4 linked regions of the Oryctolagus cuniculus genome follow. The protein of the gene in region 1 purifies or fractionates together with the protein of each later gene. This does not show direct contact. Links are inferred from orthologs where the notes say so. Each region holds a gene or a part of one and is shown in the gene's direction. Other genes may lie near its edges.

Region 1 (5,935 bases):
GCAGAGGATTAGCCTAGTGAGCCGTGGCGCCGGCGATATAATGTTCTTAATGCCATGTAAATTAATCAGGCCATACAAAGCTTCTCACAAGATCAGAAAAGCTCTTCTCTCCCCTCATTGCCTGTGAGCCATGCTTTCAATTACTGCTTTCTCAAAATCATTCACGAAACTACTGAAGACCATTAACAGGTTATTGGGAAGCCCAAAGTTACTGCCCAAGGACAGCAAAACATACTGGCTCTTTGTAAAACAGCCTGGAAAAGAACATGCAGAACATTGCCACTGGGTCGGTATTAAATGGTTTTCTTCTCAGAACGCAATGTGCAGTAGCTGTAATTTAGTTGTTAACAGAACATGCTATGCAGTCAGTCTTCAGGCCTCTGTGTTTCCTGTGGCATTTCTTCCCAGGGAGAGCCTTGGCACAGTCATGGTGTAGCCTCTTTCAAGTAATTAATTGCTCAGCTGCTCACCTTATTTTGCAAGGCAGCTTCTCTGCTGTCATTCAGAAATTATTTTATATTTGTTTTGTTTTATATTTTATATTTGTTTATCATTTAGTTTGCTAAGGTACACTCAAAATTTTAAAAAATATTTATCTATTTGAAAGATAGACAGATCTTCCATCCACTGATTTACTTCCAAAATGGCTACAGTCTCCAGGGCTGCACTAGGAGGAAGCCCAAGCATTGGAGCCATCATCTGCTTTCTTCCAGGGTGCATCAGCAGGAAGCTGGATGGGAAGAGGAGCAGCCATGACTCCAACCAGCACACTGATAGGGCATCCGGGTTTCCCAAGAAGTGGTTGAATCTGCTGCATCACAATACCTGCCCCCACAAATAAAGTGAGACAGGACACGTTTCTTCTAGAATTTCTATATATATCATAAGGGAATGCTTTCCAGTGATCATGTAACCTTATTTCCTACACCACTGTGCATCTTAATAAGATATCACACTTGTTTCAGTGTTGCCTTACTTTCCATGAGGCTTCATTCATTTATTCACGCAATGCATATTTACTGAATACAAGGGACTCTTTTAATTACTGAAGGTTTTTAAATGAACAAAACAGACAAAAATCCCCACCTTCAAAGTACTTACATTATTTTTAAGTTGTTGCAACTTTATGTTGACTCTTAAAATAAAACTCCTCAGGTGATAAAATCAAACTATTTGGCCCCTACCACCTTCATCCATACCTCCAAGTCATAGTTAGAGTCTAGAGGTAACATTTAGGAACCAGTGACTTTGTGTAATGTTCTAATCATTTTACAGAGCACCCATTTAGTCCCCAGAGTGATAAGAAGGTACTATTAAGATTCCTGTTACATAGGCAAGGAAAGAGAAAGAGAGATTTAGTTAAGAGGAAGACACAAGGTTAGATTTACTTTGGCTTCTTTAAAAAAATTTTTTTGACTTATTTATTTGCAAAGCAGAGAGAGACAGAGCTCTTTCATCCACTGATTCACTCACCAACTGGCCACAAGGCCGGGGGCTGGGCCAGGCTGAAGCTAGGAGTCTGGAACTCCATTCTGGTCTCCCAGGTGGCTTGCAGAGCCCCAAGTACCTGAGCCCTCAGCTGCTGCCTCCCAGGACAGGATGCATCCGCAGGAAGCCGGATCAGGAGCAGAGCAGCCTGGACACAAATACGGGACGCTGGAGCCCCACGCAACGTCCCAAGCCATGGGGCCCTTTGCTTTGACTCCTAAAGCCTTCCTATTCCAGGTGGCTCTTAGCACGTCTCAGATGACGGATGAACGAATGACCAAATGCACGGTTTTGAATTTCCATTCACTAACACCTTAAGTTATCTCCAGAAAAATCTAAGCATCTGCGGGGAGTGCAGTGAGAAGGGTGTCGGGAACTCAAGTGTTTTGTGGTGTTTTGAGTGAGTTTAGGTAGATGTTAAAGGCACACCCCACTCAGTCTCTGCTCCAGGGCCTCCGACTCCAGCTCTGCCTCTCAGAGTTAAGCTCATCAGCAGAGTGTTGAGGAGCTACCTCAGAACCCCTGGCAGCAGTATAGGCTGTCCTAAAGGTGAGGCTGACCCATAGAAGGGGTGAAACCAGCAGGAGGGGCTGCGCCCGCAAACCTCACATAGGATTCAGAAAGGTAGAGGGAACTGCTATGTGAGTTAAAACCTCCCTCAGTCTTAGTGGGGGTAAATGAACCACTCTTTTTTATTACCTCACAGCATGGCCCCAGGGTTCTATCCAGTTCTCTCAACCCTCTTCCGTTTTCCCGGGCCCTCTTTCAGCAGAGCACGTAGGCGCATGCGCAGAGAGTTCCCCAGCTTGGGGCCGCGGGAGACCGGGAGGCATCGATCGACTCGGCGCTGGGCTTCTCGACTTGTCGGCGCTCGATTGAGGAGTTTCATTGTCACTTCCGCCTTCGGCACCGTTTCCGGCTTCCGGTTGCTCGTGGGAACGGCGTAGTCCTCTGGTGAGTCGGATTCCCGTTTTCCTCGGTTTTGCGGTTCTTCACGCTGCTCAGCCCGAACAGTACGAGGCGCGAGGTGTGGTCGGGTGGCGTCTCGCCTTGGTTTTGTGGAGGGGTCGGTTTGAGACGAGGGAGCGGCCATGCAGGGGAGCTTAGCAGCGGCGCGCGTCTCTGGCGGGACTGGCGCGGTCCTTGGATCGCGGCGTGGCCCCGGGGCAGAGAGTCTGTGTCTGGAGAGGCAGGAAGCTGGCGCGTACAGAGTACGCCCGTTAATGCGAGGCGTGGGAGATTCCAGGTGGTTTCCTGCGGATCTGTTGTTTCTGTTTTGGCGGAGGGGAGAGGTGCGACACCAGGTGCCCTGCTCTGATTAGCCCAGCACCGAGCTTCTTGGTCTCTTGTTCTCCTCGCCTTCACTTTAATCTCTCTCGCTCCCTTCTCATGGTCAAAACTTGGCGACCCCCTGCTCCTCTTCCAGGTTTCGACTGGGGAAATGTCGAGTCTTTAAGAAACGTTTCTATTCATCTGCCACCTGCACAAGTACATCGGTCTATAGGCTCCTCCCTCGCTGTGTGTAAACACAGCAAGCAGTGTTTAGTACCTAATTATCTGTGGGCCATCCAGGGAAGTAAAGCAAGGTCACACTTGGCAACTTAAAAACCACGTGAAGTGTGGAAATCGTCCAGTGGGTTGCAAGGACGGAATTCCCAGGCCTTCTGATCAAGAGCTGTGTGACCTCAAGCGTGCTCCCTGACTTGTAACAGCCATGATATTAGCTCCTTTGGGGGCTTCTGATGCAAGAGCTGTGCTAGAACTTCGGGGGCTCTGGCCAGCCCCGCCCCCACCTCAGCCCCGTCTGACAGATGAAGACCTGAGAGATTAAGGTCTTTGCCAAGTCTGTTAGAGGTCATCCTGGAGTGAAGATGGCAGGTGGAAATTTATGCACAGTGATTGATAGATATGGAAGTGCTTTGTAAGTGCACCCAGGAACAAACTACATTGATGTTCTGTCTTAACGATTTGTTCTGGATTGTACACTTGGTAGTTTCTTTTTCATTTTTCTTTATGTCAAAATTTTTAAACCAGCTTACAAATACAAGTTACTTCATTAGGCAGATGGGAAGTAGCACAAGTGAAAGGAAAGTATAAAAATGTATTGAATACAATTTTATTAAACTCTGGCAAGCTGCTGTTGTTTCACTAAATTTTGAGCTTGAGAATTGTAAAAATGAGGGCTTGCGGTTTGCATCTGATGTAGCAGTTAAGATGTCTGCCCCATGTCAGAGTGCCTGGGCTTGAGTTCCGGCTCTCGCTCCTGACTCCGGCTTCCGCTAATGCAGACCTGAGAGACAGCAGTGGTGGCTCAAGTGATTGGGTTCTTGCACACACGTGGGACACCTGGATTGAGGAGCCTCTAGCTTCACTTGACCTCAGTCGAGCTGGGCCACAGCTGGGCATTTGGGACGTGAAGCAGAGCTTTGGAGCTCATTGTCTGCCTCTGGCTGTGTGTGCGTTTGCCTCTCAAACAGAAATACAGAGGAGGACTAGCTATTGCTGGAGAGAGAGTCTATGACCCAACTGACATTCTGACATAGCGATTGAAAGAAAACGGAAAAGCCAACAGCTTTCTGCTGTATTGATTTAATCACACCTGTTTGTAACAGTTTTTTTTTTTTTTTTTTATCCTCTCTTTAGGCTATTTGAACATTTTAACTCAGACATGGATATCAGACCAAATCATACAATTTATATTAATAATATGAATGACAAAATTAAAAAAGAAGGTAAGTGTTTTTAAAAATACTTATTGATAACTAAAATGTGTTTGTTTACTACCATCTTACAAAATTGTACTACACCCAAACTCATTTTTCTTACCTCCAGTAATAAATTTTTTTTTTTTTTTTTTTTTGACAGGCATAGTGGACAGTGAGAGAGAGAGAGACAGAGAGAAAGGTCTTCCTTTTGCCGTTGGTTCACCCTCCAATGGCCGCCGCGGCCGGCGCATCACGCTGATCCAATGGCAGGAGCCAGGAGCCAGGTGCTTTTCCTGGTCTCCCATGGGGTGCAGGGCCCAAGCACCTGGGCCATCCTCTACTGCACTCCCTGGCCACAGCAGAGGGCTGGCCTGGAAGAGGGGCAACCGGGACAGAATCTGGCTCCCTGACTGGGACTAGAACCCGGTGTGCCGGCGCCCCAAGGCGGAGGATTAGCCTAGTGAGCCGCGGTGCCGGCCTCCAGTAATAAATTTATAAAGTTTGTGTAAGGATTTCCAGGCTTTTTAAAAACAAAAATAGGTAGTGACTGACAACATGCTGAATCTGTTCTTACTCATAGCTACTCATATAATGGTTTCAAATAACTTTTTACGTTAGATAACCAATGGGAATAGCAATTTGTGTTTTTACTTACATATATAACTACTAACTGTATAAATAAATGGTGACAGAGCACTCAATGTACTGTCATTTAATGAAGAATTTTCTCATTCCTTCGTTCACAAGTTATTTCCCCTCTTATTTGGACAGAATTGAAGAGATCCCTGTATGCCCTATTTTCTCAGTTTGGCCATGTGGTAGATATTGTGGCTTTAAAGACCATGAAGATGAGAGGGCAGGCCTTTGTTATTTTTAAGGAACTGGGCTCATCCACAAATGCTTTGAGACAGTTACAAGGATTTCCATTTTATGGTAAACCAATGGTAAGCCAGTACTGTTACTTTTGCTTTAATCACTATGAATGTTTCGTAGATTTGTAAATATATGCTTGAAACTGTGGTTTTTGCTTTCACTTTTAATTAAGTGTGTTATAGGGAGTTCGAGTTCCTTTTATTTATGTATTTTTCATAGAAATACAGAAGTAGAGGTTAATTCATTCTTATGACAGTTCAAATAGGCAAAAACAGAATGCACTGAGATGTAGAATATTTTCAAAATAATGGCAGTATAGACAATGTTCTTGTCTTAAAAATACTGGAAATTAATAATAACCCAAAGATTTAAAATGATAACTAAACTTGTGAAGCAATATAAAACAAAAATTATGGATCAAAGAGGAAATCCAGTCTGAAGTTTCAGCGAATAGAGTAGTGAAAACCTTTCAGAAATTAGGCAGTCTAGGTAAAACATTGATCTTGGGGAAAGTCATAGGTTTAACACATAGGTTTTATGAAGGGCAGTGAGTGGAAATGGAATTTTTATACGTGGAGAGTGTTAAAACTTTGGAGTAACAGAAAGATTCACATCTGCTACTGGATGAAGATTGGACTGGGGAGTAAAGAGGGAGAGTACGGAATTCACTTGGTGTGAATCAGAGATGGTGGGGACTTGGATAAAGGTGGAGACAGTGTGAGGCAAGGCTTCTATGTGCCTGAATGAGTGCAGAGTACTTTGGGTGTGTGTTCCAGACTGTGTCTCTTCAGCAATTGGGATGAGAGGAGAAGGGATCTTAGCTCTGGGTCCCCATTCTGATTTTTCTGTTATCTCACTCAGAGTGTGCA
Region 2 (6,156 bases), on another chromosome or scaffold:
GTGTAGGGGTCCAAGCACTGGGCCATCTGCTGCTGCCTTCCCAGGCTCCTTAGTGGGAACTGGATCAGCCATGGAGAAGCCTGGCCTGGAACGGGCGCTCATACAGGATGCTGGCCAAGAAACACTATTTCGAGCTGCACCTTCAGAAAGCAAGTGGCCCTGACCACTGACCACTGCTTGCCACCTGCTGCTGCCCCCTTGGTCTTTCCCCTGGAATCTGGGCTTCCAACCTCTCACTCTTGCCCTGTAGCCCCTTCCCTGCGCCCCCCCCCCCCAAGTGATCTCCACAAATGTAAATTCGGTTCTTTCCCCTGACCATCACCCTAGTGACTCCCTACCTAATTATAAATGAAACCTGGCCCCTCCTCCCTGGCAATCCTGGGAGCAGGCAAGGATCCCCGAGGCTGCTACCATCACTGGGTGGTGCTTCAGGCCCTGATGCCCTGGGGCGGATCTGATAACAATGTATCACCAGCCAAAGGCTCTCGCTAAGAATGTTATCCTGGTGCTGGCGCAGCAGGCTAAGCCACAGTGTGAGGCCAGCAGCCCAGCGCCTGCTGTTCCATTTCTGATCCAGCTCCCTGACAGTGCACTCGGCAGAGCAGCAGACGCTGGGCACTGACCTGGGAGACCTGGATGGAGCTCCAGGTCCTGACTGTGGCCTGGCCCCGCCCCAGCTGCTGTGACCATTTGGGGACCGAAACAGCGGATGCAAGAGTCTCTCTCTCTCTCCCTTCTCAGTAACACTTTCAAATAAAACTTTTTAAAAAAGATTTATTTATTTAAAAGTCAGAGTTACATAGAGAGAGAAGGAGAGGCAGACAGAAGCCGGCACCGCGGCTCACTAGGCTAATCCTCCGCCTTGCGGCGCCGGCACACCGGGTTCTAGTCCCGCTTGGGGCACCAGATTTTGTCCCGGTTGCCCCTCTTCCAGGCCAGCTCTCTGCTGTGGCCCGGGAGTGCAGTGGAGGATGGCCCAAGTCTTTGGGCCCTGCACCCCATGGGAGACCAGGAGAAGCACCTGGCTCCTGCCATCGGATCAGCATGGTGCGCCAGCCGCGGCGGCCATTGGAGGGTGAACCAACGGCAAAGGAAGACCTTTCTCTCTGTCTCTCTCACTGTCCACTCTGCCTGTCAAAAAAAAAAAAAAAAAAGAGAGAGACAGAGACAGAGACAGAGATCTTCCGTCTGCTGGTTCGCTTCCCAAATGTCTGCGATTGGGCCAGGCTGAAGCCAGGAGCCAGGACCCCACCCAGGCCTCCCACACAGGCCGTCTTCCTCTGCTCGGGCCCCTGGCCAGGGAGCTGGCGGGAAACGCAGCAGCTGGGACGCCAGCCTCGCCGGTGGGGCTGCCCGGTGTCCCAGCGCCAGCCCCTGACCCCTGCAAGGATTTCAGAAACGACGCCCACGCAGGTCCCGGCGACCGCACCTCACTCAATGCGCCCCAGGACTTGTGAGCCAGCCCTGGCTGTCGTGGGCGTCTCGGGGGTGAACCAGCAAGACCGCTCTGCGTCCCTCTCCTTCCCAATAAGTAAAAATTGTGCCAAAAAAGTGAAGTTAGTAATCTGGGTATCATGAACGAGGCAACGGAGCTCCCCCTAAAGGCATCAAGCACAGTGCGGTCCACTCTCCACCACCACGGGCTGTGCACCCGAAACATTCCAGAAAGCAAACAGCGCGTCTGTACTGAACACGCAGACTTTTCTTCATGCCCTAAATGATAAAGGATAATTTTGGCGCAGGCTTCACATTGTGTTAGGCATCGTTAAGTGAGCAGCGGGCCATTTCACACTCACGGGCAGAATTCGGTCCTGGGACCAAGTGCCCATGCAGGACACCCAGGAAATGCCCGTCCCAGCTCAGGCCCTGGGCACCTGCCGTTAGCCGCGCCCCGATCGCCCTGGGCGCCTCTGTCCCCCTCGCTGTCCCCTCCCGCCCCCCACCCTGCTCTTGTCCTTGAGATGGCCACTACCTGAAGTTGTATTTTTCATCTAAATACCTTTACACTCTCCCTCAGTACAAAGTAAGGAACCAAAAATCAGGTTTTCACACCTCCAGCGCCTAAACAGCGATTGCTGGACGCCCACTAGCCGGACGATCAACGCAACCAACACTATTCCCGTAGGGACTCTTTGCCAGGTGGCGGAAGGGTATTACCCGTTCTCTAGTCAATGCGCATGCGCCAAAGATCCGGGAAGTGTGCTAGGTAAGGGGGCGGGGCTTCGGGATGAGCCTCGCGGGCAAAGGCGGTTGGAGTCCAGGCGCGAGGTGGAAAGCGGCGCTTGGGGACGAGCGCGCGTGCGTAGTACGGCCGCAGCCAGCCGCGGCACGCAGTTGAAGGCGCCGGGAGGCGGGGCAAGGGCCTCGCGCGTGCGCCGTGCCCGCGGCGGCCCCGGTGTCTGTAGGTCGGTTGCGCGCGGCTGGCGCTGCGCGTGCGCAGGGCGACGGCGGAGGGATTTGAGGCCGGGCTCCACCTCCTGCTCCCGTTGCGAGCCGAAGCCGCGCGGGCTCGCGAGCAGAGGCCTGCTGCGCGCGCGGGGGGCGGGCGACCGAGTCCGACGGCGCCGGAGTCGAAGCCGGAGCAGGAGTGCTTGTTGCTGAAGGGCCGCCGCAGCCGCCGCGAGCCCCCGGACCGACGCCAGGCCGAGGAGGGCACCGCGCGGCGGGTGAGTGGGACCCAGTGGTCTTGAGGGGGTGCGGGGCCGCTACCCACAAGCCCCTGCGGTGGGCCGGGGTCCCCTCCCTGACGGCCGCGTCCCCCCTGCAGCACCGTTCCGCGGCCCTCGCCTAGAATTTCCCGGACACTCGGCGCTCTCCCCAAAACACGCCCCCGCCCGCCGCCGTCCCCTTCCCACAGGCCCTTGCGCGTTTGTTGCCCTTTCCCCGCCCCCTCCCTCGCTTCTCGGGGCGCCCTGGACCATTACCCACAATGCCTCTCGCCGCCGGGAGCCCAGACCTGCTACCCACAAGCCCCTGCGTGGTGGGGGCGGGGAGCGGGGTGCGCGCCGACTTCCGGCTACCCAGCGCCTGCGACCCCCGCCCCGGGCGCCTCCCTCGGCCGCAGCCCCGACTGCCCGCTCGCCCGCGCTTCGGCCTTTGTTCCCCCGGCGGCGGCGGCGGCGGCGGCGCGCTCCCCGGGCGAGGCAGCCGCCACAAGGCCTTGACCCTCTCTCCCCAGACCTGGCAAGATGACCCAGTTCCTGCCGCCCAACCTCCTGGCCCTCTTCGCTCCCCGGGACCCCATCCCCTACCTGCCGCCCCTGGAAAAGCTGCCGCACGAGAAGCACCACAACCAGCCCTACTGCGGCATCGCGCCCTACATCCGGGAGTTCGAGGTGAGCCAGGCCGGCTTCGCGGCTGTGGACACTTCCAGGCCTCGGGGGGCCTGGCAGGGCAGCCCCTGGAAGGCGCTGGGGAGGACGCGGCGGGAGGGGTCGGCCGCGGACGCCGGGTGCTTCTCTGCTGTGTGGTCTTGGGCGGTACAGAATCCCCACGATGCATTCGCTGTCTTTGACAGCAGGACGGAGAATAAATAGCATTTACGGCAGAGCGCTTGGTACCAAGCAGTCGATACGTGTCAGCATTTGTGACTGTATTTGCCATGTTTTTAAAACATTTATTTTTCTTTATTTGAAAGATGGAGTTAGAGAGAGAGGGGTCTTCCATCCACTTGTTCACTCCCCAGATGGCCGCAACAGCCATAACTGAGCTGATCCGAAGCCGGGAGCTTCCCTGACTCCCACACGGGTGCAGGGGCCCAAGGACCTGGGTCGTCTTATACTGCGTTCCCAGGCCGTGGCAGAGAGCTGGATCAGAAGTGGAGCAGCGGAGAGTCGAATTGGCAGCCCCTATGGGATGCTGGCGCTGCAGGCTGGGGTGTTAACCCACCGTGCCACAGCACCGGCCCCTGTATTTGCCGTTCTTGTTAACGGAGTGTCGTTCCTGAAGAATTGGCACTGTGTGGGTGGCGTAATTAAGACCGTAGCCTGGGGCTCTCAGATCTGCACTGTGGGTCACCGTTGGTGCAGCTTAGGCTCCGGGATCTCAGTGTTTTCATTTGTAAGGTCGGGTGATGACCCCGCCTCAGGGCGGTCCGTGTCACAGGCCGCTCCAGTGCTGTAGGGAGAGGCTGCGATGGAGGCTCCAGAGCCGAGGTGACACAAGGTGGCTCTTACTGGATTGGCCACTCCCAGTGAACTCGTGCTTGGGAAGTGTTATTAGCCAATTAAATTAATTTAATGGGCACAGGCCAGCAACTCTGTCTGGTGATCGCTGCCTACGGAGTGGCTGCGAGGGCTCAGAGAGCTGCCTGGCCCTCAGGACGTGCCCAGGTGTCAGCTCCTGCTGCTGCTCTCCTGAGCAAGCGCCCCCGCCCCCACTCTGCTTTGTCACGTCCTCAGACACGTCGTCGTCGGTGCAAGACAGGGACCTGTGAGACTATCTTAAAGGAATTAGTATTTATTTAATTGAAAGGCAGAGTTACAGAGGAGGAGGGGAGAGACAGAAAGGTCTTGCGTCCACTGGTTCACTCCCCACATGGCCGCAGTGGCTGGAGCTGTGCTGGTCTGAAGCCAGAAGTCAGGAGTTTCTTCTGGGTCTCCTGTGAAGGTGCAGAGGTCCACGCACTTGGACCATCGTCTGCTGCTTTCCCAGGCCTTAGCTGGACCAGAAGTGAAGCAGCCGGGACTCAAACCAGTGCCTGTGTGGGATGCAGCGCTGTAGAGAGGTTTCATCTTCCACGCTGCTGCAACAGCCCAAGATTGAAAATTTCAATAAATGTAGTGAGATTATTTTGAATGAGAAGGAGAGAGGGAGAGACAGGTCTTCTGTCCACTGGCTCACTCCACAGATGGCTGCAGAAGCTATGGCTGGGCCAGGCCAAAACTAGAAACCAGGAACTCTGTCCAGGTCTCCCACGTGGATGACAGAGACCAAGCACTCAGACCATCGTCTGCTGCTTTCCCAGGCGCATTAGGGAGGTGGATTGTAAGTGGAGCAGCTGGATTCCAGCCGGCACTCTGATAGAGGATGCTGGCGCCACAGGTGGCAGCTTCACTGTGCCATGTGTCAGCTCTTGGGGTTTTCAAAAGAAACACCTGGGGCTGGCGCCGTGGTTCACTTGGTTAATCCTCTGCCTGCAGCACCGGCATCCCATATGTGCACCGGGTTCTAGTCCCGGCTGCCCCTCTTCCAGTCCAGCTCTCTGCTGTGGCCAGGGAGTGCAGTGGAGGATGGCCCAAGTGGTTGGCCCCTGCACCCCATGGGAGACCAGGAGAAGCACCTGGCTCCTGGATTTGGATCGGCGTAGCTCCAGCCGGAGCAGCCATTTGGGGGGTGAACCAACAGAAGGAAGACGTTTCTCTGTCTCTCTAACTCTGTCAGTCAAATAATAAAAAAAAAAAAAAGGCAACAGGCTGGTGGTCAAGTGTAAGAGGCTTGGGTTGAATGCCTGGGCTCCCTGACCTTGGCTGTTCCCGTCTTTAAGAAAAAAATCAAAAGAAGCACCTGTAAAGGTTGGGGTTTATCTCTGGAGTGAGTGTGCGTAACACTGCTCTGTCAAATTGCTGTGGAAGTTTCCAGATACTTTTCATCTCTCTCAGACCGCAGAGTTTGTGGACAGCGTCGGTCTGTGGATGTGCATTGATCTTGTCACTTTTGCCTCCAGTGTGGCCTGGGAACTGCCCACGTGTGTTTGTGACAGTGGGGCAGCGCTGTGCTATTCGCTGGTTGTCCCCGTCCCTCCACCCTGTCCCTCCGTTCTTGTTCCCAGGACCCTCGAGATGCCCCCCCTCCAACGCGTGCAGAGACCCGGGAGGAACGCATGGAGAGAAAGGTACTTCCCTCCCCGGAGTGTCCTTGAGGGGGTGGGGGCCGCTTCCTTCAGACGGCTGCTGGCGTCGGGGCACTTGAGTCTGCACTCACAGCTCTGCCTCGCCTTTCTCAACAGAGAAGAGAAAAGATTGAGCGGCGACAGCAGGAAGTGGAGACGGAGCTAAAAATGTGTAAGTGCTCTTCTGTCTGCTCTGTCCTCCCCAGGCCAAGCCTCGTATCCTGCTCGCCCGAAGGCCTGATTTTGGTGAAGGCAGGGTTCTTGATTTGCTTATTTAGCAGGCTGTAGGGTTTAGTTGTGGGGAGGGGCGTGCACTTGGGGGACCC
Region 3 (5,848 bases), on another chromosome or scaffold:
CAGTTGCCAGTTGATTTCCCTTTCCCATTTAGCCAAGCTTCCTGGTTCCTGGCCCTCCCAGTTCTGTGTGGCTGTTCTCTAAAGGGGCCCTGACCCCTCTACACCAGCTCTGTCCGTGGCGGGAGAGTCCCTCTCTGCTGGCGGTCTCTTCTCGTTGGCTACCCCGGATGGCTGTCTCCTCTGAAAGCCTGGCTGACCAAGAGTGGGGGCTCCCTTTACACTGGGGAGCTTGCCCTTTACCTCCAGGGCTGCTGCTGCCTGGGTATCTGGGACCTCAGATCAGGCTCTGGAGACGCTGCTACCTGAGGGGACGGCCCGAGGTCCAGGTGAGTAAAGAAGACAGGGACTGGGAGTGGGGGAAGGGGCTTGACAGCTGAACCAGATGAACAGAGCTGGGAAGGCAAGGGGCTGGGCGGGCTGGGAAATGAAGTACCGTTAGAGGAAACTGCTAGAAGCTTACATTAAATGGAATTTAGGGCAGAGTTGGGAGGGGAAAGACAATTAGGCACCACAAGTAGCGGGCAGATCTTAGAAGCAGGGGTCTAGAGCTGCAATGACGTTTCTCTCTGTCCCTATTGGCACCCTTCCCAGATGGGCCTCTCAGCTCTCACAGTCTCTGGCCTCCAGGATGAACTATCCCATCTTCAGGAACTATTAAGGAAGTGGACACCAAGAGCGTTTCCTGGTGATCACTCCAAGAAAAGAGATCCAAGTACCATTCTCTCTCATTCCTGCTGAAATTGCTGGCATTCTCAAAGAGCAGCGGGGGATCTGGGTTGAGGGAGAGTCCTAATACTGCAGTGTTTTGTATATGGCCTTGTTGCCTCAGCTTTCACACTCCAGCTCTTAAGCAAACTCACTTAGAATTGAGTTTGTTGTGGACGGTGGTGCTAATCTTTAATTCTTGTCCTTTTATTTGGTTCCTGAAGCTGTTGTTTCCTGGGAGTTGAAGAATTAAGAAACAAAACAATCCACAATGTAATTGCTTTATAGATAGCCAGCTATTTAAGTTGTGACACCAGAGACGCTGTTCACCAGTTCCAACAGTATGGCCTAAAGACCTCATTCTTGCCCCTTCTTGCTGCCTATTTTAATTCCAATTTCTGTTTCTTCCTGTATAGTTTCTTTTGGAAACAAAGTGGATATGAAACACACCCTCTCTTCCAACTGTACATTTTTGTAGTGGCATTTCTATTTAAGTTCATTAAAGCACAATATTTATACACATTGCTGGCACTGATTCTTGGATTTGAATGAAGGATCCTAGATAGCAAAGACTTGAGAAAAGGTCCCCATCGTATGATTTCTAAGAAAGGAATGGATTTGGACCACGTGAGGCTCAGAATTCTCATCTCCCATTTAGAGGCAGACAGCCAAGAGCATATTATGACGTTGCTGGGGCCAGAAAGTGCTCTTGGAGTTGCAGCTTTGGTCACACTCCATCCGGGGAGCCTCAGATTCTGCTCACACTCCGGCTCAGACATTACCTCGAGCCAGCCAGAGGCATGAGGCCAAAACTAAGACGCTTGTGGAGCAGAGTCCTTAGGTTGAGGGGTCCCTGAGAACCTTTTCCTTTGGGTGACAAAAGGATCAGCTGGCTACAAAATACACGAAGAGTTACTATTTTTAGCTTGAAAGAGAGGAACAGACAACTTCCATCCGCTGGTTCACTCCCCCAAATGCCTCTAACAGTCGGGGCCATGCCAGACGCAGACCGGGAGCGGGGAACAATCCAGGTCTCCGACATGGGTGGCAGGGACCAAACTTGGGGTTTCTGCTGCCTCCCAAGGTGTGCATTTACAGGAAGCTCGAGTCGGGGGAAACCGGGGCTCGGACCCTGTAATTCTTGACTGAGGATGCTGTGGCTTAACCGCTGTGCCAAACGCCCGCACCGGTGGGAGACGTCTGGCACTGCTTTCAGAGGGCCTGCGCTTTCCTGCCCCGCCCTCCTCGCTACGACCGCTCGCCCCGGAACCTCGGCGCAAATCCAAACGCCTCTGAACCGGGACGCCACAGCACCGTCAAGTCCCGCGGGATCCTAAGATGGCCGCAGCCGCTTCCGGCCCCGCCCCCGTCCGGGCCCCGCCCAGCGTCACGTAAGTCTTCGCCCCGGAAGTGGAAGTAGTGACCGCGGCCAGAGGGCGGAGCCGCTGCTTGGAGGCGGCGGGATTCTTTTCGCCATGGCTGCCGGGCCGATCTCCGAGCGGAACCAGGGTGACTGGGCGGGGAGACGAGTCCGGAATGGGCCCGGGAGGGTGGGAAGCCCCAGCTAAGGCCAGTAGCGTCTCCAAGGCGGGAAACTGGACCCCCGTCCCCCGGAGGGCGCGAGACTCGCTTCCGTGGCTGGTGCGGGCGGGTTGGCCGGGTGCAGGCTGAGGCCTGGACGTGTGATGTTTCGTGCAGTCCCCCTGCTGCCTTTTCTGAGTGGGACGGAATTTGCAGCAGACACTAAAGTGAACTTCAGAAGGGGCTCTAGGTCCTGCGAAGAGGACGATTTAGGGCTTATTTGGATGCTTTCCACCTCCCCCTTTTCGCTTCTGTCCCACATCCCCGCCTGCAGTTCCTCTAACTGGGTTCCATCTTTATGTCCCGGTCAGCTCCTTTCCTGTCATATTCGTCCCCATCCTAAATTCCTGCATCCTCCCTCCAGATGCTACTGTGTACGTGGGGGGCCTGGACGAGAAGGTTAGCGAACCTCTGCTGTGGGAGCTCTTCCTGCAGGCAGGACCGGTGGTCAACACTCACATGCCGAAGGACAGAGTCACTGGCCAGCACCAAGGTGAGTCCGCGCCAAGAGGCCACTTTATGTATCTGACAGCTGCTCCTGAGGGTCCCAGCGGTATTTATACTTGTTTCAGAATGAGCGACCAGAAGATTGCTTCCTCTTCTTTTCTCTTTTTTAAAGATTTATCTATTTACTTGGGAGGCAGAGTTACAGACAGAGAGAGGGAGAGACAGAGAGAGGCCTTCCATCCACTGATTCACTCCCCAAATGGCCGCACTGGCCGGAGCTGGGCCAGTCTGAAGCCAGGAGCTTCTTCAGGTCTCCCACCCTGGTGCAGAGACCCAGAGACTTGGGCCATCTTCTCCTGCTTTCCCAGGCCATCAGCAGGGAGCTGGATCAGAAGTAGGGTAGCTGGGACTTGAGCTGGCGCCCATATGGGATGCTGGTGCTGCAGGCAGATGCCCAACCCACTGTGCCTCAGCACCGGCCCCAGATTGCTTTCTCTTAATCCTCAGTTCACAGTTTGTTTCTAAAATCATTTTCTTGTTCTTTGTGATTGGAGGGTGGGTGAGTTTTACCCAGTTTCGGGTATCTTCGCTCTAGTTGCTAATCTCCTCTCTGCCTGCTTAGGCTATGGCTTTGTGGAATTCTTGAGTGAAGAAGATGCTGACTATGCCATTAAGATCATGAACATGATCAAACTCTATGGGAAGCCAATACGAGTGAACAAGGCATCAGCTCACAACAAAAACCTGGATGTCGGGGCCAACATTTTCATCGGGAACCTGGACCCGGAGATTGACGAGAAGCTGCTTTACGATACTTTTAGCGCCTTTGGGGTCATCTTACAAACCCCCAAGATCATGCGGGACCCTGACACAGGCAACTCCAAAGGTTATGCCTTTATTAATTTTGCTTCATTTGATGCCTCGGATGCAGCAATTGAGGCCATGAATGGGCAGTACCTCTGTAACCGCCCCATCACCGTGTCTTATGCCTTCAAGAAGGACTCCAAGGGTGAGCGCCATGGCTCCGCAGCTGAACGACTTCTGGCAGCCCAGAACCCACTCTCCCAGGCTGATCGCCCACATCAGCTGTTTGCAGATGCACCCCCTCCACCCTCTGCTCCCAACCCTGTGGTATCATCACTGGGGTCTGGGCTTCCTCCACCAGGTAAAGCTTTTGGTTCGCAAATACGTTTGTCTTGGGGCTGCAGTGAGGAGAACAAAGAACCTGGAAAGGGAAGATCTCCTGAGTCAGTGGGTGATGAGAAGGGAGTTAGGAGGTGGTGGGTGGGAGGGGTGTGAAGAACTCTGTCGGGCTTCTCCAGGGAGGTAGGATTATTTGAGTAGTGCAACATGGCTTGTGACCTTAGAGCACTGGGAGGAGGGGGCAAGAACTCACCCTGCATAGACAGGTCAAACTGGGACAGGTTCTTTAAAGGCATTCTTTGCCCACCGCCATTAATCCTTCTTCTGATTTCTATATAGGCATGCCTCCTCCTGGCTCTTTCCCACCCCCAGTGCCGCCTCCTGGAGCCCTCCCACCTGGAATACCTCCAGCCATGCCCCCCCCACCAATGCCTCCTGGGGCTGGAGGACATGGCCCTCCATCAGCAGGCACCCCGGGGGCTGGACATCCTGGTCATGGACACTCACATCCTCACCCCTTCCCACCAGGTGGCATGCCCCATCCAGGTAGGTGTTCTTGGCTGGGAAAGGGAGGGATGTGCGTGAACGAACAAAATGCTCTCTTTAGTTTACTACTTACCACCTGTCCTGTTGTGTAAGTCTTTCTGCAGAGTAGCCTATACTTGCTGTTTGTTTGTTCCCTGTTGTTTCCCTTCTCTCTGACTCAACCCCAGAGCAGTGGTCTAGGGGATACTTCGACTTCTTAGATGGTTTGCCCTCTGCTGTATTTGAAACTAGCTGTGTACTCCTGTTTGAAATTCTTGTCTGTTTTTTTCATCTGTTTTTTGGATTCTCCACCTGACACCTCAGTTTCAGTCAATTTGATAAACTGATTTTTCTCTGGGTCTAGATTAAGTATACACTGATGTCTCCTAGTCTGTATCTCTAGTTCATGATTATTAACAATCTAAATCCATAATCCTGTTGCTCAGTGGACAGATCCACTTTTGTACCTCTCCCCTTCAGACCTTTCTCTTTTTAAAAAAATACGTGTAGGGGCCAGCGCTGTGGCACAGCAGGTTAACACCCTGGCCTGAAGCTCCGGCATCCCATATAGGTGCTGGTTCTAGTCCCGGCTGCTCCTCTTCCAATACAGCTCTCTGCTATGGCCTGGGAAAGCAGTGGAAGATGGCCCAAGTCCTTGGGCTCTTGTACCCGCGTGGGAGACCCGGAGGAGGCTCCTGGCTCCTGGCTTCGGATCGGCACAGCTCTGGCCATTGCAGCCTATTGAGGAGTGAACCATCAGATGGAAGACCTTTCTCTTTCTCTGCCTCTTTTCTCTCTGTGAATAAAAAGAAAAAAAAGAAAAAAAAAAACAAAAAAAACCTAGGGAGTCCAAATGGATTGTGCGCTCACCTTTGCCTCTCTACTGAGCCGCCCTCCTGGCCTGCCCAGGTGTAATTCTCTCTTTTCAACCTTGTAACCTCGCTCTCCCCCAGTTTCAGCGACTGGGCACTCTGTCTCTTCCGTTCAAAAAAAATTTCTTTATGTAATTATTTATTTGAAAGGCAGAGTTACAAAGAAGATGAGACAGAGAAAGAGAGCTTCCATCTACTAGTTCAAATGGCTGCAATGGCCAGGGCTGGATCAGGCCAAAACCAGGAGCCAGGAACTCCATTTGTGTCTCCCATGTGGGTGAGCAAGGACCCAAGTACTTGGACCATCGTCTGCAGCTTTCCCGGGCTCACTAGCAGGGATCTGAAGTGGAGCAGTCAGAACTTGAGCCTTTGCTCCATGTGGGATGCTGGAGTTACCAGCAGCTGCTTGACTTGCTGTGCCACAGTGCGGGGCCCTCCCCCTTCAAACCTATTCTATAAGTCTTCCGTATTTTTCAGGTGCATAATTCATGAGTCTAGGGCTGTGTTTGATTATTCCCTGTCACCTCACTTCCTGCTTTTAAATATTAATTTTATTTATTTGAAAGGCAGAACTA
Region 4 (5,922 bases), on another chromosome or scaffold:
ATGCATATATTATGAAGGAGCCAGCAGGTTCAGCTATTCTATGTCTTGAGAAGACAAGGGTGAATAGGTGATACCCACTCTGCAGCTTTTTTTCATTTCATTTTTCCCTCTAGTTATAAGATTAACACATGATTATAGCAGAGTATTTGGAAAATACAAAAGACACAAAGAAAAAAATCACACATAATCCCATCATTCACAAACATCTACTGTTAAGATATTGACAACTCTTTTTCTTTCTTTCTCTTTCTTTCTTTCTTTCTTTCTTTCTTTCTTTCTTTCTTTCTTTCTTTCTTTCTTTCTTTCTTTTTTCCTCCCTCCTTCCCTCCTTCCTTCCTTCCTTTGACAGAGTTAGACAGTGAGAGAGACAGAGAGAAAGGTCTTCCTTCCGTTGGTTCACCCCCTAAATGGCTGCCATGACTGGAGCTATGCCAATCCGAAGCCAAGAGCCAAGGGCTTCTTCCTAGTCTCCGACGCGGATGCAGGGGCCCAAGCACTTGGGCCATCCTCCACTGCCCTCCTGGGCCACAGCAGAGAGTTGGACTGGAAGAGGAGCAACCGGGATTAGAACCTAACGCCCATATGGGATGCCGGCGCTGCAGGTGCAGTATTAACCAAGTGAGCCACGGCGCCTGCCCGACAACTTTTTCAATATATATTTTTCACATGACAGATTACCTTATATATAAGAATTTGTCTTTTTCAAAGACATGAGGCAAAAAGCTTGATGTTCTTTTGATTTTTTTTTTGTTTAGCAGGTTTTTTTTTTTAAGATTTATTTATTTTATTTGAAAGTCAGAGTTACACAGAGTGAGAAGGAGATGCAGAGAGAAAAAGAGGTTTTCCATCTGCTGGTTCACTCTCCAACTGGCAAAAATGGCCTGAGTTGTGCTGATCTGAAGCTAGGAGCCAGGAACTTCCTCTAGATCCTCTCACGCAGGTGTAGGAGCCCAAGCACTTGGGCCATCTTCTACTGCTTTCCCAGGTCATAGCAGAGAGCTGGATTGGAAGTGGAGCAGCTGGGACTGGAACTTGTGCCCTAGTGGGATGCCGGCACTGCAGGCAGCAGCTTTACGCTTTGATAAGCCACAGCAAGGGCCCCTCAATAATTTGCATAACAATCTTTCTTATCCTGACCCCACATTCCCTATTAGATTAACTTCTTTTTTAAAAATTTTATTATTTATTTGAAAGTCACAGTTACACAGAGAGAGGAAAGGCAGAGACAGAGAGGTCTTACATTGATAGTTCACTCCCCAGATGGCTGCAATGGCTGTGCAAAGCCAGGAGCCAGGAGCTTCTTCCAGGTCTCCCATGCAGGTGCAGGGGCCCCAGCACTTGGGCCATCTTCTACTGCTTTCCCAAGCCATAGCAGAGAGCTGGATAGGAAGAGGAGCAGCAGGGACTGGAACCAGCACCCAAGTGGGATGCCAGTGCTTCAGGCTAGGGCGTTAACCTGCTGGGCCACAGTGTAGTCCCCCCTATTAGATTAACTTCTGTTTGAACTAATAAAGAGATGGAAATTAAACATCTGAAGTTTTAAACTTATTAAATCGATTATTTCACAGATGCTGATAAAAATCCTATGTGTTACTGAAGTTTCCACTAAGTATTTATTCAGACTGTGTCTATCAAACAGCAAGCTAACCTTCTGCTGGCTCTAACCTTGATCCCTACCTGTTTACCTAGGCTGCTTCCTAGACCCAACCTCCCTCCTTAGTTCTTCTGTTTTTTTCAACCCCAAAGTCCAAAAATAGTGTCAAGTTATGACAGCATAATTCATATCTAAGCATAAAGAACACCACTGTATTCTGACTTACTAAAGTTCCTGATTTAGGAGTAACATTTAGGGCAATTGTATTCTAAGAACCTATAAAGTGAAAAAGCTTTATAATGGTGACAGCATTCAAGTTGTGCAATTTGGTAACTGTGTGACTTTGCACAATTTACATATCTCCCCATTCTAATTTTTTTTGTCTTCAATGGTATTAGCAATAGCTTGCCTATTTTACTGGACTATTTGTGAAGTAGTTTGGCAACGTCAGTTGGAAACGAAACTCCTATAGAGACAGCAGGCAATTATTGAGAAAAGGGCAGCAGGAAAAATGACCTTGAAAGTTAGCGTGAGGTGTGAGACTGTTAAGACTGTCTCCTTAGCTAAGCACGGCAACAGCTGAAACATGCTAAGAAAGCTTTTCTCCAGCCCCGAGACGCCTTTGAATTTGGACAAAGGTAATTGAAAGGCTGAGGTCTCTTCCAGCTCCGAACCCATAGTTTCCCACAGGGTCTGTTCTTATCCACCACCGAGTAATCTACCCACTCACTGCCTCCCTCACCCCCAGGCAGAGTTTTCCCGGGTCACAAACTAAGACCCGCCCCCGGACTAATCCCGGTTCCTCCCACACCCACAATGCACCTCGCGATTCCATCTAGGTGGCTGCTCTGTCACGTGTCATTCGACGGAGCGCGCTCCCGCTTGGCGCACGCGCAGAGAGCAGTCCCAGCTATTTTTCTCCGTGGCGGCGGCGACGAGCGGAAGTGCTTGGGAGCGCCAGTTCCGTCTGTGTGTTCGAGTGGACAAAATGGCGAAGATCGCCAAGACTCACGAAGGTAAGCAGGCTCTCCCGTTTACGTGCCCTCTCTGCCGCCATCCTGCTAAGACTGCCTTTCCGAGCCTCTGACGCTCCTTTAGTTTTTTTGTAGGGGCCGAGTCCGCGCTTTGGGGGTCTGAGGCGTCTCCTCGGCGCTAGCGGCGCAGCCCACTGCCCCGCGTAATGGCGTCCTACTCGTACACCCACGACAGGCGCTTTGTTCCGTGTTTGAATGCAGCTGCTTGAGGGTTTCTTCTCTTCCCTGACCAGAAGCCTCGTTTAAGCGGGTGGCTAAGGAGGATTCCAGGCCGACGGATAGGGGAAGCGTGGGAGGAGAGTCCCGCTCACCTCTTGGTACTGTGGTCGGCATAGTTTGTGCAGGGAGTCAGGAAAGCGCTGAAATAGGCAGCCGCTTTTCGGGGAATGTTAAACCGAGGCCGCAGACTCCTAACCCTGGGTAAAATGTGTGTCTTCAGGTGTCTGGGTTACTTGATTATTTTTCTTGGAAGAAATGATCCGGTGTTTTTTGCCTTCCTTAATAATTTATAGTATATTTATCTTTTTCTTTGGTGGCTGATTATTGGAGGAGCATGTGCAAAAGGAAAGTCATATTATATTGGCTGGTGACCGAAGTTTTGAAGATAGTTGATCCTTTTCTAGTATACAGGGTATACAAAATTAGGCGAATGTTGGGAGTAGAGTGAAATCCATTAGGGAGTGTCCAGAGAATAGGAAGTGGGGATTGGGAATTTAGAACTGCACTCCTTGATTTGGCTTTGGATCCAAAATTTACACTGTACACAAGGCTTTCAAGATGACTTTTATTTCATGTCGTTATTTATGTATGTCGTTTCTTGGTGTGTGGTTTGGTATTGGTCTGTGAGAGGTAAGCGACTCAGAGGCCATCAAACATTCTAGTGTGATGGGGTACACTGACACGTATTTATCTGAATTTTCTTAAGAGGCCAGATGACTGCTTAGATAGAAATGTAAGCAGTGTGTTCTGCGAACTTGGGTAGGAGTGATGGATTTATGGTTAGGGCTGTTTTCACAGAAGAGGTGACGTGTCCCCAGTCTTGAAAGGATCAGTCAGTTTTAAATTAGAGGAGGACGTGTGAACCTGAGAGAACTGTTAACAAGGCAGTGCGTCTGAAAAGTATGTTGGAGAAGTCTGCAGTGGCAGGAAAAGAGGTGCAAAGGGGAAGTAGAAGATGAATCTGGAAAGGTTGGTTAGGACCAGAATGTGGATGGAACTGAGGCTCAATGCTTTCTAAGCCCAGAACTGTTCTTAGGCCTTAATCCTTTGTTTTTAGACTATCTCAAAATACCTTTTGCAAAATAACCAGAAAATATAAAGATGTTGCAAGTTTTGTTCATTCAGGAGTAGATTACTCATTTGGGGGTCACTTAGCAGCGTTGATTGCTTATTTATTGGTATCTTCAATATCTCATAACCTTGGTCAGGAAAATCAAAAATTGCAGTTGGTTTTCCTGCATGTTAGAAACCCAGCTAAAAGGCCTTTTGATTGCAAATCGTTGTTTTATTTGAGATTATGCTATCAATGTAAATTAAGTAATGCCTTAAAGAAAATAGTGGAAAATTTGGTATAACATCTGAGTACTTTCTGTGAAAATTATCACTGTGTGTGATAAGTTGCAGGGTGATAACTGTTAAATAGAAATACAGTATTTGCATAGCTTCTCGCTCTCTTCCTTGTGGTATTTTTCTGCAGAACTCTAGTTCTTTGTGCTTTAGCTATTTTCACTTGTCAAGCGATTTCTTATAAGCTGGAAATTAGTTTCTTTTGGGGTTGGGGTGTGCTATTGTAGTATTCAATATATTTGTATTATTTCACTTAGGATAGTTTTTCTATTAAAGTTTTCTCATACTTTGAGGTTGTTTACAGGAATTCTATCTTAGAATACCCAGTAGGTGCATTATGTATGCTTAAATATTTAATCAACATTGAAAGATACATACTGGAAGTATTAAAAGAGTTTCACAAACAAAAGGTACTTAATTGATCTTTGAAAGTTTGTGTTGGCTTGACTATATGTATTTGGGTGAGATAGATGGGGAAGCAAGACTTTACACTTTGGGAACTTCCTCAACTGAGAGGATGAAATATTAGGTTAGTGTCATCGTGGAAGGCTTCCCACCAGTGGCCACAGATACTGGCTCTTTCCTCCAGGTCATATTATTTCTGTGTTTTGGGAAGGTCACAGGTTGTAGTGTGAAGGATGACCTGGAGTCAGCAACCATTCTTAGGCTATTGAAATAGAGAGGATGACTTAGATTGAATCCCACTGGCGTGGCCTTTAAAAATATGTAATATTTATTTTTGTTTCAAGTAAAAAGATTATACAATATTTATTCTAAATGTTTCTGGTACAGACATTTCTTTGTCGTACCATGTAATTCATTATTTTTTATGTAAGCTTTTTGGAGAATTTAAAAATTTTTTTAAAGATTTAGAGAAAGAGAGCTTCCATCTGCAAGTTCTCCCCAAATGCCTGCAACAGCCAAGGCTGGGCCAGGCCAAAGCCAAGAGCCTGGAAGTCGGTCTGAGTCTCCCATGTGGGTGACAGGACCCAATTATCTGAGCTGTTACTGCTGTCTCCCAAGGTGTGCATTAGCAGGAAGCAGCAATTGGAATCAGGAGCAGAGCCAGGATTTGAATTCAGTCTGTCTGATAGGGGGTATGGGTGTTCCAAGCATGTCTTAACACTACGCTAAATACCTCCCTCTCCCCTCCCCCAAAAATTTATTTTTATTTTTAAAAAGTTTTAAATGGAAGAGGAATAGACAGACACAGACAGGTCTTCCATCTGCTTGTTTATTCTTCAAGTGACTATAGTAGCTGGGGCTGGGCCAGGCTAAAGCTGTAACTCCATTCGGTACTTCCGTGTAGGTAGCAGGAACCCAAGTACTTCATGCATGGCTTACCCCATGCTGCCACAATGCCCCACCCCCTTGTAATTTTTATTTGAAATGCACAGTTTCAGAGACAGAAAGGTAGAGACATATCTGCCATCCACTGGTTTAGTCGCCTAATGTCTGCAACAGAAACCAGAAGCCTGGAATTTCATCCAGGTCTCCTTTGTGGGTGGCAGGGGCCCAAGCACTTGGCCCATTATATGCTGCCTTCCCAGGCACATTAGCAGGCAGCTGGATTTGGAGTGGAACAGCCAGGGCTTGAACCAGTGCTTGTGTGTGATGGGGGCATCAAAGGTGGTAGCCTAACCCACTGCACCACAATGCTGGACCCTGCTTGAAGGTTTTAAAAGTTTTTTCCCCCATAGACTCATTTGGGAATTGATATATCACTGT

Evidence for each region. Proteins that work in one complex are often made in the same cells at the same time.
Region 2: the proteins of SNRPB2 (region 1) and SNRNP70 purify together in Homo sapiens (affinity purification with mass spectrometry; 5 studies listed by BioGRID and IntAct, counting the BioPlex papers as one, with this or other methods). This does not show direct contact. The link is inferred for Oryctolagus cuniculus from reciprocal best matches to the Homo sapiens genes SNRPB2 and SNRNP70.
Region 3: the proteins of SNRPB2 (region 1) and SF3B4 purify together in Homo sapiens (affinity purification with mass spectrometry; 4 studies listed by BioGRID and IntAct, with this or other methods). This does not show direct contact. The link is inferred for Oryctolagus cuniculus from reciprocal best matches to the Homo sapiens genes SNRPB2 and SF3B4.
Region 4: the proteins of SNRPB2 (region 1) and SF3B1 purify together in Homo sapiens (co-immunoprecipitation; 6 studies listed by BioGRID and IntAct, with this or other methods). This does not show direct contact. The link is inferred for Oryctolagus cuniculus from reciprocal best matches to the Homo sapiens genes SNRPB2 and SF3B1.

Annotation. Positions count from the first base shown.
Region 1 is NC_091442.1:41,759,409-41,765,343, forward strand, and holds the start of SNRPB2 (U2 small nuclear ribonucleoprotein B''), read left to right. Parts: upstream 1-2,291; 5' UTR 2,292-2,442; exon of another isoform or gene 2,443-2,515; intron 2,516-4,131; 5' UTR 4,132-4,156; coding exon 4,157-4,220; intron 4,221-4,964; coding exon 4,965-5,137; intron 5,138-5,935. UniProt on the Homo sapiens protein: Involved in pre-mRNA splicing as component of the spliceosome. Associated with sn-RNP U2, where it contributes to the binding of stem loop IV of U2 snRNA.
Region 2 is NC_091449.1:8,222,509-8,228,664, reverse strand, and holds the start of SNRNP70 (U1 small nuclear ribonucleoprotein 70 kDa), read left to right. Parts: upstream 1-2,399; 5' UTR 2,400-2,666; intron 2,667-3,178; 5' UTR 3,179-3,188; coding exon 3,189-3,335; intron 3,336-5,770; coding exon 5,771-5,833; intron 5,834-5,947; coding exon 5,948-6,002; intron 6,003-6,156. UniProt on the Homo sapiens protein: Component of the spliceosomal U1 snRNP, which is essential for recognition of the pre-mRNA 5' splice-site and the subsequent assembly of the spliceosome. SNRNP70 binds to the loop I region of U1-snRNA.
Region 3 is NC_091438.1:48,025,116-48,030,963, forward strand, and holds the start of SF3B4 (splicing factor 3B subunit 4), read left to right. Parts: upstream 1-2,091; 5' UTR 2,092-2,180; coding exon 2,181-2,214; intron 2,215-2,650; coding exon 2,651-2,779; intron 2,780-3,355; coding exon 3,356-3,898; intron 3,899-4,215; coding exon 4,216-4,422; intron 4,423-5,848. UniProt on the Homo sapiens protein: Component of the 17S U2 SnRNP complex of the spliceosome, a large ribonucleoprotein complex that removes introns from transcribed pre-mRNAs.
Region 4 is NC_091434.1:42,820,430-42,826,351, forward strand, and holds the start of SF3B1 (splicing factor 3B subunit 1), read left to right. Parts: upstream 1-2,165; 5' UTR 2,166-2,180; coding exon 2,181-2,232; intron 2,233-2,433; coding exon 2,434-2,610; intron 2,611-5,922. UniProt on the Homo sapiens protein: Component of the 17S U2 SnRNP complex of the spliceosome, a large ribonucleoprotein complex that removes introns from transcribed pre-mRNAs.